2 linked regions of the Rattus norvegicus genome follow. The protein of the gene in region 1 interacts with the protein of each later gene in a pairwise test. Links are inferred from orthologs where the notes say so. Each region holds a gene or a part of one and is shown in the gene's direction. Other genes may lie near its edges.

The links.
Region 2: the proteins of Ndn (region 1) and Gkap1 interact in a two-hybrid assay, tested with the Homo sapiens proteins (2 studies listed by BioGRID and IntAct). The link is inferred for Rattus norvegicus from reciprocal best matches to the Homo sapiens genes NDN and GKAP1.

What each region holds. Positions count from the first base shown.
Region 1 is NC_086019.1:125,259,199-125,264,412, forward strand, and holds Ndn (necdin), read left to right. Parts: upstream 1-1,860; 5' UTR 1,861-1,927; coding exon 1,928-2,905; 3' UTR 2,906-3,460; downstream 3,461-5,214. UniProt on the Homo sapiens protein: Growth suppressor that facilitates the entry of the cell into cell cycle arrest.
Region 2 is NC_086035.1:6,398,113-6,403,387, forward strand, and holds part of Gkap1 (G kinase-anchoring protein 1), read left to right. Parts: intron 1-674; 5' UTR 675-716; coding exon 717-932; intron 933-1,376; coding exon 1,377-1,520; intron 1,521-4,016; exon of another isoform or gene 4,017-5,168; coding exon 5,169-5,246; exon of another isoform or gene 5,247-5,275. UniProt on the Homo sapiens protein: Regulates insulin-dependent IRS1 tyrosine phosphorylation in adipocytes by modulating the availability of IRS1 to IR tyrosine kinase. Its association with IRS1 is required for insulin-induced translocation of SLC2A4 to the cell membrane.

The sequences.
Region 1 (5,214 bases):
CTTCAAAATTATTGGTCCCATATTTGTGATTTGTTTTCAAGAACCCATTAAGTACAGGATGGCAAACACACTGTATGCATAGGTATACATACAGTATGTGCATGTATGTATACACATAGTGAGTTAGCCCAGAAAATTCTTCAAAATCAACCCACTTGGGAAAAACATATCTAAGAAATGACTAGAGCACTCTTAGTCCAAATACCCGAAATAGCAAACATTGTACAATCTGAAACATTTCCAGGATGTACAGGATATTACAAGTGACAAATCCCATATCAGCTCTCACCAGATCACAACTGAGACAAAAGTCTACCAGGACTATTGTATAATGTTGCCTTCAAAATGTGGATAGAAAGCAAACTAATAACATGTCTATTCTGGAGCTTATAACATATCATTGTACATATGCGAATATTCTCAAACCTGGAAACACGGACATACTTCTTGCCACAAATATTCTGGGTAAAAGATGTCTGTCTTGTCTAAATAAACACATTGAAGAGCCAAGGAATGCCAACCCAATACCTTAAATACATCTGTTTTAAGTGATAATAAATCTCAATGCATAATTTTAAGATGTTTTAAACTTGAGGAACTCAAAGAAGGGCTAAGGAATTCCATTATTTCAGAATAAGAAAGATGATCAAATTTAAGGACTTCTGGCTTTGGAAGCTTCAACCATGGTCATTGCATAAAGGAAAGTTCGAGGAAATATCAGGTTCAGGTTACCTCCTCTCAATCTACATTTTTTATTTATGAACACCAATATGCTGCCTCTCATTTATGAAAGAATGTTAGATATTATCCAAAAGAATTGCATTTGAAAGATATTGGGAAAGATTTGGACGTGCGCCCAACATGGAATTAGTCATTTGCTAATGACGTAATGCAAGACGTGGAAGATTTCTTATAAACATGAAGATGTAACAGCAGTAAGCAGGGGGAAAGGGCACTGGGAGTGCATGAAAAATACACTATCATAAAATGTGTATTAATAAACATGTTGATCATTTCCCACTAGATTCTTAAGGGAATTTCTAAATGAAATCAAAGTGACCTAATAGAAATGCAGAGCCCAAATCCATAGTTATTAAAATAATTGTAAGCCAACAAACTAAGAATCCAACGATGAATGAATACATATAAATAATTTTATATATCTGTTTTGTTCATGTGGGACCTGGGGTTTAAACTCAGGTTCATGCTTGAACTGCAACAGCTCTTGCCCACTGAACCAAGTCCCATTTTAATTAAAATTTTAGACGCACATCAATTATGTTATATGAATCTACTTCTAAAACATTAAATTCTCACATGGATTGATTTCCAGTGTCTGTAACTATACTTTGCATTCTTCCTTGTTTGATACTGCTCAGATTTGTAACGATTTATCTCTATTAATAATTTCTCAACATTCTGATATTAGACAACACATCATCATCATCATCATCATCATCATCAGGTATGACTTTCCAAGAAAAGGTTATTTTTGTCTCTCCTATTCTTTTGTGGAAAACTCAAATTCAAGAATTAGTCTTCTTCCTCCAGGACCTTCACACTTAACTCAGTGTGTCGGAACTTAACTTCACCATCTCAGCTATATCTTTCTCCTTCAACTTGTTTCTTTCCCCACTATCACCCATCTCTGTCCCATACAGGAGACCAGGAGATCCTTTTCATAATACTAGTGGTACCCTCCCTTAGACCCCAGTGGTTGGGCTTTGCTACTTCGCTCCTATCCAGCCCTACCACCCTTCTGGCTTCCCACTACGCATGCGCAATATAGCGTCTGCCCCGCCCGGCCCGCTGCTGCGGAAGGCGCAGTGCTCAGTAAAGCGCACTTCCTCTGCTAGTATCCACTGAGGCAGTGCAGGCTCCGAGAGCTCCGAGTCGCAGCGGTCCTGCTCTGATCAAAAGACGCAGAATGTCGGAACAAAGTAAGGACCTGAGCGACCCTAACTTTGCCGCTGAGGACCCCGACACTGAGATGCAGGTCAGCGATGCTGTTCCGGTGGGGGTCCCTCCTCCCGCTCCTCTGGCCGCGAACCTCTCAGGGCCATCGTGCGCTCCGGAAGGCCCTATGGCAGCCCCACAGGCCTCGCCACCACCTGCAGAACGGTTTGAAGAGGTTGACCCTAAGATCCTGCAGCAGGCCGCAGAAGAGGGCCGCGCCCACCAGCCCCAGAGCCCAGCCCGGCCGATCCCAGCACCGCCGGCCCCTGCCCAGCTGGTGCAGAAGGCGCACGAGCTCATGTGGTACGTGTTGGTCAAGGACCAGAAGAGGATGGTCCTCTGGTTTCCAGACATGGTGAAAGAGGTCATGGGCAGCTACAAGAAGTGGTGCAGAAGCATCCTCAGGCGCACCAGCGTCATCCTCGCCAGAGTTTTCGGGCTGCACCTGAGGCTGACCAATCTCCACACCATGGAGTTCGCCCTGGTCAAAGCACTCAGCCCAGAAGAGCTGGACAGAGTCGCGCTGAACAACCGTATGCCCATGACAGGTCTCCTGCTCATGATCCTGAGTCTCATCTATGTGAAGGGCCGCGGGGCCAGAGAGGGTGCGGTCTGGAATGTGCTGCGCATCCTGGGGCTGAGGCCCTGGAAGAAGCACTCCACCTTCGGAGATGTGAGAAAGATTATCACCGAGGAGTTCGTCCAGCAGAATTACCTGAAGTACCAGCGTGTGCCCCACATCGAGCCTCCCGAGTACGAGTTCTTCTGGGGCCCCAGAGCTAACCGTGAAATCACCAAGATGCAGATCATGGAGTTCCTGGCCAGAGTCTTTAAGAAGGATCCCCAGGCTTGGCCTTCCCGCTACAGAGAGGCTCTGGAGCAGGCCAGAGCTCTGCGGGAGGCTAATCTTGTCGCCCAGGCCCCCCGCAGCAGTGTCTCTGAGGACTAAAATGTCCAGGAGCACATTGATAGTTTCTGACCCATACTAGGGCTGTGTAAGGGTGGGGTTGGACATTAGAGTATCCCAGATTCATAGTGCAGTATTTCATGTATAGTTTTTAAGTTTTCCATCCAGTGCTTTTTTTATCTTGTAATGCAATGTATTCAGTTGTGTACTCGTGTAGTGTTTAAAATTGATGCATGTGTGTTTTATAAGTGAGCAAGTTGGTACTTTCACTTCTGTGCTTTCTTGGATTTTTGTACAAGAGATGTGCTGTGCTAAACTTGTGAAATACATTGAGGTGTTCTGTATCTTGTTCTTTGAATGGGACTGATGGTCCGTATCGACAAAGAAGGCCCTGGAGAGTTAGCAGGACTTAACAACAACACAGACCTGACCAAGAGAAAGGTCAGGGTCCCTCTCCATATGACTCCAACTGGCACAGGAAACATCCATGTGGAATGGACTGATTTGAACTGGACTGTTTTCAGTTTAAGCACTTAGCACACTTTGCAAAACATGTATCCAACCCCACCATAAATAAACTTTAAAATGAGCATTAAATATACCGTGAAATAATTTCTTTGTTTGGGGGGGAGGCATTTATTTTGGTGAAAGGGGGAATGGGAGTGGGTAGGGATGAGAAAGATTCTCCCCGTGTACAACATGAGCAAGTATACTTCTAACAGAGTGGGAAAACACCACTCATAACCACTCAGAAGTTTTTTGAAAATTGTGGTGCTTCAAGAAATTGGTCACATTAAAGGCGTGATAACAAAAAAAGGCATGTTCACATAACGTGGGAATAATAACAGGAATTATGTAGGGACTGTCCCTTTTCTGTTTTGTTTTGTTTTGTTTTTTTGTTTTAAATAGTCTTTGGTGGGCACTTTAACAGAATGAAATATTGCTACTAAACCCTCGTTGTGCATTTTCTTCTTTATTTTATCCTCCCACCAGCCATAAGAAGTAAGGAATGACTGTATCAGCACAAAGCAAGAAAAATGAAAGGATGCTGGTAATGAAATACCCTAAAAATCATAGACCTTATACTGGAGTCTTGACACTTAGCTCCCCATGGCTACCACTCACACAAGCACCCTTGTCTCCCTGCTGCATACATTAAGGATTTGATTTTTCTAATTAATTCTGAGAGTTTTGCGCAAATTAGCCTCTGAATGTACGAATTAGGAAACTCATTTCAGAAAGAATTGATGACCCAATCAAGTCCTTATCTTGCTAAGGGGTAAAAAGAAGATCTGAAATTTCATCTTTTCGGGGGGGATGAAAATGAACGAAATTATTCTGACAGTGATTCCTGTATGAGTCATGACACTAATGAAATCGAGGAGGGGGTGGTAATAGGAAGTTGCACCCAGCAGCACAGTCACATGTGCGACTCCGAAGTCAGTATGCTGCAGTGGACAGTAGGTGAAGAGAAGGTGAAATGGGATGAGAATCACTGTAAACAACAACTGGGGCAAAAAAAAAATTTCATTAGGGAGCTTTTCGTCGGGGAAGAAAAAGAGAGAAGAAGCATTAATGAGATGAGAAATCCTTTAGACTCTTATGTGGGAAAAGTCGTTTAGTAAAAGTTTTAAAAAAAACTTTTTTTTCTGGGGAAGGGGAATAAGGGGTGCATACCTGTCACACCATAATCATGAGTAAACTGGGAGTCGTGTTAATGTGAAAGAGCTACAGTCAGTGTTTTGACATACAGAATTGCCAGCATTTAGTGACATTGCCTAGCTGGTGGTGCAGGGAATGAAAATGCTTATAAATCCATGTATCTCTTAAAACAGAACTCATCCTCCTTAGTTGCCCCCATAGTCTTTTACGGGAGTGAGAATGGAAAGTGGGAAGATACTGACAGTAACCCTAATATGGGTGACCTGGCTCTCAGCAGACTTCTTCGTGAAGAGCTGATGTTTGCTGTCACACCTATTTAAAAACATTTAGGGTTTTTCTGCTGTAAGGATATTGAGTCTGTTTTTGCATGGGCTTGTTTTGCAGATTACAATTTTGCACATCGCAGTTTTGCAGATCCATGTAAAACAGATTCAAGATTACTGACACTGGCACCTTAGCTAAACATTTGCTGAGGGATAGGATAGTGAGAAACAAGGAGCTGATTACAGGCAGGAGCAAGAGCAGGGCTGCTCTCCAACTGCGTTGTCTTGGAGACAGCTAGCCATAGAGGAGAAAGCTTTTCAGCTATGGAGTGTTTAATTCATGGTGCCTGGTTCAATAGGCACCACAGCCTGGGGACGTAGGGGGAAATTATTCAATAACTTTCTTATATTTTCATATTGGCCTAA
Region 2 (5,275 bases), on another chromosome or scaffold:
TAAAACACAGTAGTCCGTACCTGCTAGGGTCCGTGACCTTGTCAGCCACAGGCTTTGACAATGTTGACAGTAACAGGCATGAATTCCATGGTTGAAGGAATTTAAGTCCTTTCTTTCTTTAAAGTTGGTTGTAAGGATCAGTCTTTATAATCAATGTCAGCATTGTGATATAAGAGTGTTCTTTTCTGCTCTTGTCTGTTTTCCTGAAGTTGGTGAGCATGCACCTGCAGGAACGGTCTTTGTGTGATGACAGATGCTGGTCCTCCTCCTGTGGTAGAGCATCCTGATGTAGCCTCTGTTCACGAGTGTGTGGACACCACAAAAGCGTTTACAGAAAAGTTAAGGACTTCTAAAACCAGATGTGGAAATGGGCATTGTGTATTGATTATAGTTCTGTGAAATCAATAAACCCACATATTCTTCTGAATAACTTTATGTTGTTTGGTTTAGTTAAAATATGTTAATGACAGTGGAATTGTGGGTGCAAACCCAAATATTACCAAATGTGATGTTAGGAGAAATGTATTTTACATGTATGGCAGTTGGAGAAACTAGAGTAATTTTCTTCAATGTTTTCTCCTCCCCCTTTCTCCCCCTTTCTCCCCCTTCCTCCCCCTCCTCCTCCCCCTCTCTCTTCCCCTCTCCCTCCCTCCCCTCCTTCCCCCTGCCCACAGGAGTTACTGTTGACATAAGCGTTTAAGCCCCTGTTCTGAGCCATGGCCTCAGCAGTCCTCAGCTCTGTGCTTACAACTGCCTCCCGCTTTGCCCTGCTGCAAGTGGACAGCGGCAGTGGCTCTGATTCTGAGCCTGGGAAAGGCAAAGGGCGGAACAATGGGAAGTCTCAGACTCTGGGGAACAAATCAACCGCCAATGAGAAAAAAAGGGAGAAGAGGAGGAAAAAGAAGGAGCAGCAGCAGAGTGAAGCAAACGAGGTAGCCATGGCTGTCTGTGTCCTGGGGCAGGGAGCACACGCCATCAGCCTCATTGCAGACACCGTGTCAGGCACAGGACACGGCTTCCCGGTGACATTCACCTACCTGAACCCACACGCAGCCAACACTCAGACATTCTTCCTGACTGGAGCAGCTTGTGTGTTCATGCTATTAAATTAAGACAGAGACATCTTAAAGGGGGGCAGTCCGTGCCTGTAGCCCCAGCTGCTCAGGAGACTAAGCTGGCAGGGTTGCTTGAGCAAGCCTGGACAGGATAGTGAGACTTTGTGTGGTAAACAAATTAATAAATTTAAAAATAGAGATAAATCCACAAATAACTTTCCATTGTATAAGTTAATGTAAGGAATGGACTAGAAATATTTTAAAATTAAAGCCACTAGTATTGATGTGCAGAATGTAATATATTTTGTGCTTATTTCTTAGCTCAGGAATCTTGCTTTCAAGAAAATTCCCCAGAAATCCTCCCATTCTGTTTGCAATGTTCAACATGAGCTTTCATTGCCAAACCCAGTGCAGAAGGAATCACGGGAAGAAAACTGGCAAGAGTGGAGACAGAGAGACGAGCAGGTACAGCTGAGTGTGTGCCCTCCCTGGCTGTTCTGGGCCGACGGCCTGGTAAGATGGCAGCACAGCCGAGCTCTCCCCCACAGTGCTGCGGGCTCTGATGGGGCGCGGCCTGGGCGCAGTAGGTAATTCACTCGGGCCTCAGCACGCTAGCTAAGCATCCTGACCTACAACCCTAGCCCTGGTCATCTGTTTTTAGTTCATCCACTGTTTGTAAGGGAAAGTGTTAGGAACATAGAGAAATATACTTATTTCAGCTTTTGAAGGGCTGAAGAGAGGGTTGAAAAGCACTTGTTCAAATTTTTTAAAACGGATTTATAGGACTACAAATCTCTTATTAAAAATATGTAGTAACAGTTTTGCTTAAACAGTGACTTTGAAGTAAAACTTCTTTGTAACTTTGTCTGAAACTGCTGACGGCATGTTGGCTCTGCTGACCTATTTAGTGGTATTTAGTCTGTATCTCTTTGAGAGAGTACACACGAGGGAGGGAAGGAAGGAAGGCACAGAGTGTGTGTGAGAATGAGTGTGCATGTGTGTGCACACACTCGTAGGAAGTGAACGTTATTTTCATATTTACTGAACTATAATTTGATCTGTAGGAAATAGGCATTATTTTCAGACAGTACTTGGTCCATTTATTGGATTTCCAGTCATTCTGTGTTACCATTTTAAAGGAAGTAGACAAAGCTAGGTGTGGTGATACACGTATGTAATCCAAGCATCTAACCTCCTGGGAAACTGAGGCAGGAAGCTTGAGTTCAGCCTAGCTGGGGACCAATAAAGCAAACTCATGGAGGCCAGCAGTGCTTGAGCACACGCTTCAGATAAACCGTTTTCAGTGCCTTTTCTTTAGGCTCTTGCACTGTCCAAGACTTAGTATTGTGAGTACCAGTTATTACTCAGGAGCCACACATTAATGCTGTTGACATTTCCCGCTGGTGACATGCCGTTGACTTGCCGTTGGATTGTGATAGGATTTACCATTGTCTTCACCAAGGAGAATTTCTCCCAGTAGCCAGAGGGAAACTAACATAGGAAAATGAGTCAGATTTATACCGAAAGCAGTGTGTAAACTTGAACACAGTCTCCGATTACCTTTCTTTCCCATATTTGCTGTCACGGTGATCAGGTGGTTCTCAAAGAAAACAGATCACATGGTTCAGGACCTTGAGGAATTTACTAGGTATGTTGTTGAAAGACCCGGAATCTTAGAACTTGTGCTTAGAAGGAAATGCTCCAGTCTTGCACCGTGTATCAGGGTGGTCTTTAGTATTCCATGAGATAGGGCACTTTGTGAACTATCGTGAGCATTGTATGTCAGCATTGTATTCTATTCCTTTTTCTACCTATCAAAATTACTTCTGTCCTTTAAATAGCAACATAAAATTTATTTTCAGAGAATTGGTATGTCCCAATTAAGGCTCTTCTTTGTTTTGAGATTTTAGGTTTCATTCCTTTTGTTTACTTGTACACTAGTTTATCTTAGTAACAAGCACATGTGAGGGTGGCTGGAGTTGCGTGCGATGCTCTCACTCTTCACCTCTGCTTGCTCACCGCACTGTAGGCCAGTTGTCGGCTCCGCAGGCGGGGGGGGGGGGGGCAGACTAAACTTACAGCTAGACTCAGGGTCCTGGGAAAGCCATGGGGTTGTTGTTGATCGGTCGGCTTTTGTTTTCTGCACTTCAAATTTCATTTCTAAGTAAAATTCATCGGATCTATGAATTTGTGATCCACTGGGTCTGTGTAATGACCTCAGGACAGCATAATAAGAGCTTCTCTCTTAAAAGCACAGACCAAAACAACACACACACACACACACACACACTCTTTTTTATTGTTTTATCAGAATGATCTGCACTACAAATTAAATTCAGTGAGTTACTGGAAAATCAGTATCTTGCAAGGTTTCCTAATTTGTCCTGCAGTCTGACTTTTTGAAACTTCAGCCCAAATGTATGTATGATATTAGAAGAAATCACAAATTTTCTTACCACAATTAAATGTTAAAAATAGGATTATAGTGGCAAATTAACCAGCTTTGTTCAGGACAAATACTTTTAAAAAGATCACCATTGAGCTGGAGAGATGGCTCAGTGGTTAAGAGCACTGACTGCTCTTCCAGAGGTCCTGAGTTCAAATCCCAGCAACCACATGGTGACTCACAGTCATCTGTAATGGGGTCTGATGCCCTCTTCTGGTGTGTCTGAAGAAAGACAGCGACAGTGTACTCATAGATAATAAATAAATGTTTTTTAAAAAGATCATTATTATATTTTAACTTATGAGCAAACATTTTGTACTCAGTTTAGATAAACTGATTTATACTTTTTTAATGTGGCATATATATATCTTATTTTTAGTTTATTATTATTTTTTTCTTTTGGAGCTGAGGACCGAACCCAGGGCCTTGCGCTTGCTAGGCAAGGGCTCTACCACTGAGCTAAATTCCCAGCCCCACTATTATTTTTTATTACCTATATAATGATTGGGGGGTTACTATGGAGATTTTGCCTGCATGTGTGTAAGTATATCACCTGTGTACCTAGTACTTACAAAAGCCAGAAGAGGGTGCTGGAGCCTCTGGAACTGGAATGAGCCACCATGTGGGTGCTGGGAATGAGTCCTCTGCAAGAGCAGCCAGTGCTCATAAGCACTGAGCCAGCTCTCCAGGCCCCTAGGATTAAGCTGTGAGGTGCTGTTTCCTGCTAATAGTTAATTGGGATTGCATAACTCCTCAGTCCCCCGGGATCATCGTAGGATTGCAGTTTATTGTGGGCCTCCTCAGATTCCTGCATGCACTTTCCTTACCAGTCTAATTCTCATTGCATTTCCGTTAGTGTTTTTCTGTGTAAAGCTAGCTTGTTTCACTGTTTTTGTCTTGGCGAAGGATCAAGTGAGATGCTTTCTAAGGGGTGATTTCACTTAGAAAAGTTTAATTTGTAGAGTTTGATAGTTTTCTAATTTTTAAGACAGCCTTTACCCATTCCTTTTGACATTGGTTACTATTTTAGTCTGTATATTTTAAAACATTGAACAACATAACAATTCTTAGTAACTTGGGCAAAAATTTATTGAGGAGTAACTAAAACCTGAAAACTTAGGCCATAAAAGATGGAAACTAGCAAGTTCTGGGACACTCCAAGGCGGGAGCTAGCAGACACCACATCTCGGGATAACTGTCAGGTGGGTGTCCTTCCTTCCTGCATATCCGAAGACAGCGCCTGGGAGAGTGGAGAAGGCCTGGCTGACCTTCCCTGCCTGCTGTTGCTGGTCCGGCCACGTGGCTGCTGGTGTGGCACCGTGTCTGATTGGGATGCTTACCTGTCCTGTTGAATTAAGGATGTCAGAATATTTTATTCACAGTGTGAGGGGATTTTGGGGAGAAAAATATGAGATATCTATAGCATATGTAGACGTGGGTATTTACCCAAATTAACAATGAATGGGGAAATAGAAATTTCAAAAACAGGAGTTGATGCTTGTGTACAGCACAAGGTTGCTAGGATAGCATGGTTAAATAACTTAGGAAAACTGATAAATGTTCGTTTAAAGTACATCCATTTTCCTTTGCTGTGTGTATTCTCATAGATCATGCTTATTTTGAAAGTGTAGTGTAAATGGATGTTTATTGTGAAACAATCTTTTTAGCTGACCTCTGAAATGTTTGAAGCCGACCTCGAGAAGGCGCTGCTGCTGAGTAAGCTGGAGTACGAAGAGCACAGACAGGTGAGGGCGGCGGGCGGGCAGGCGGGCGT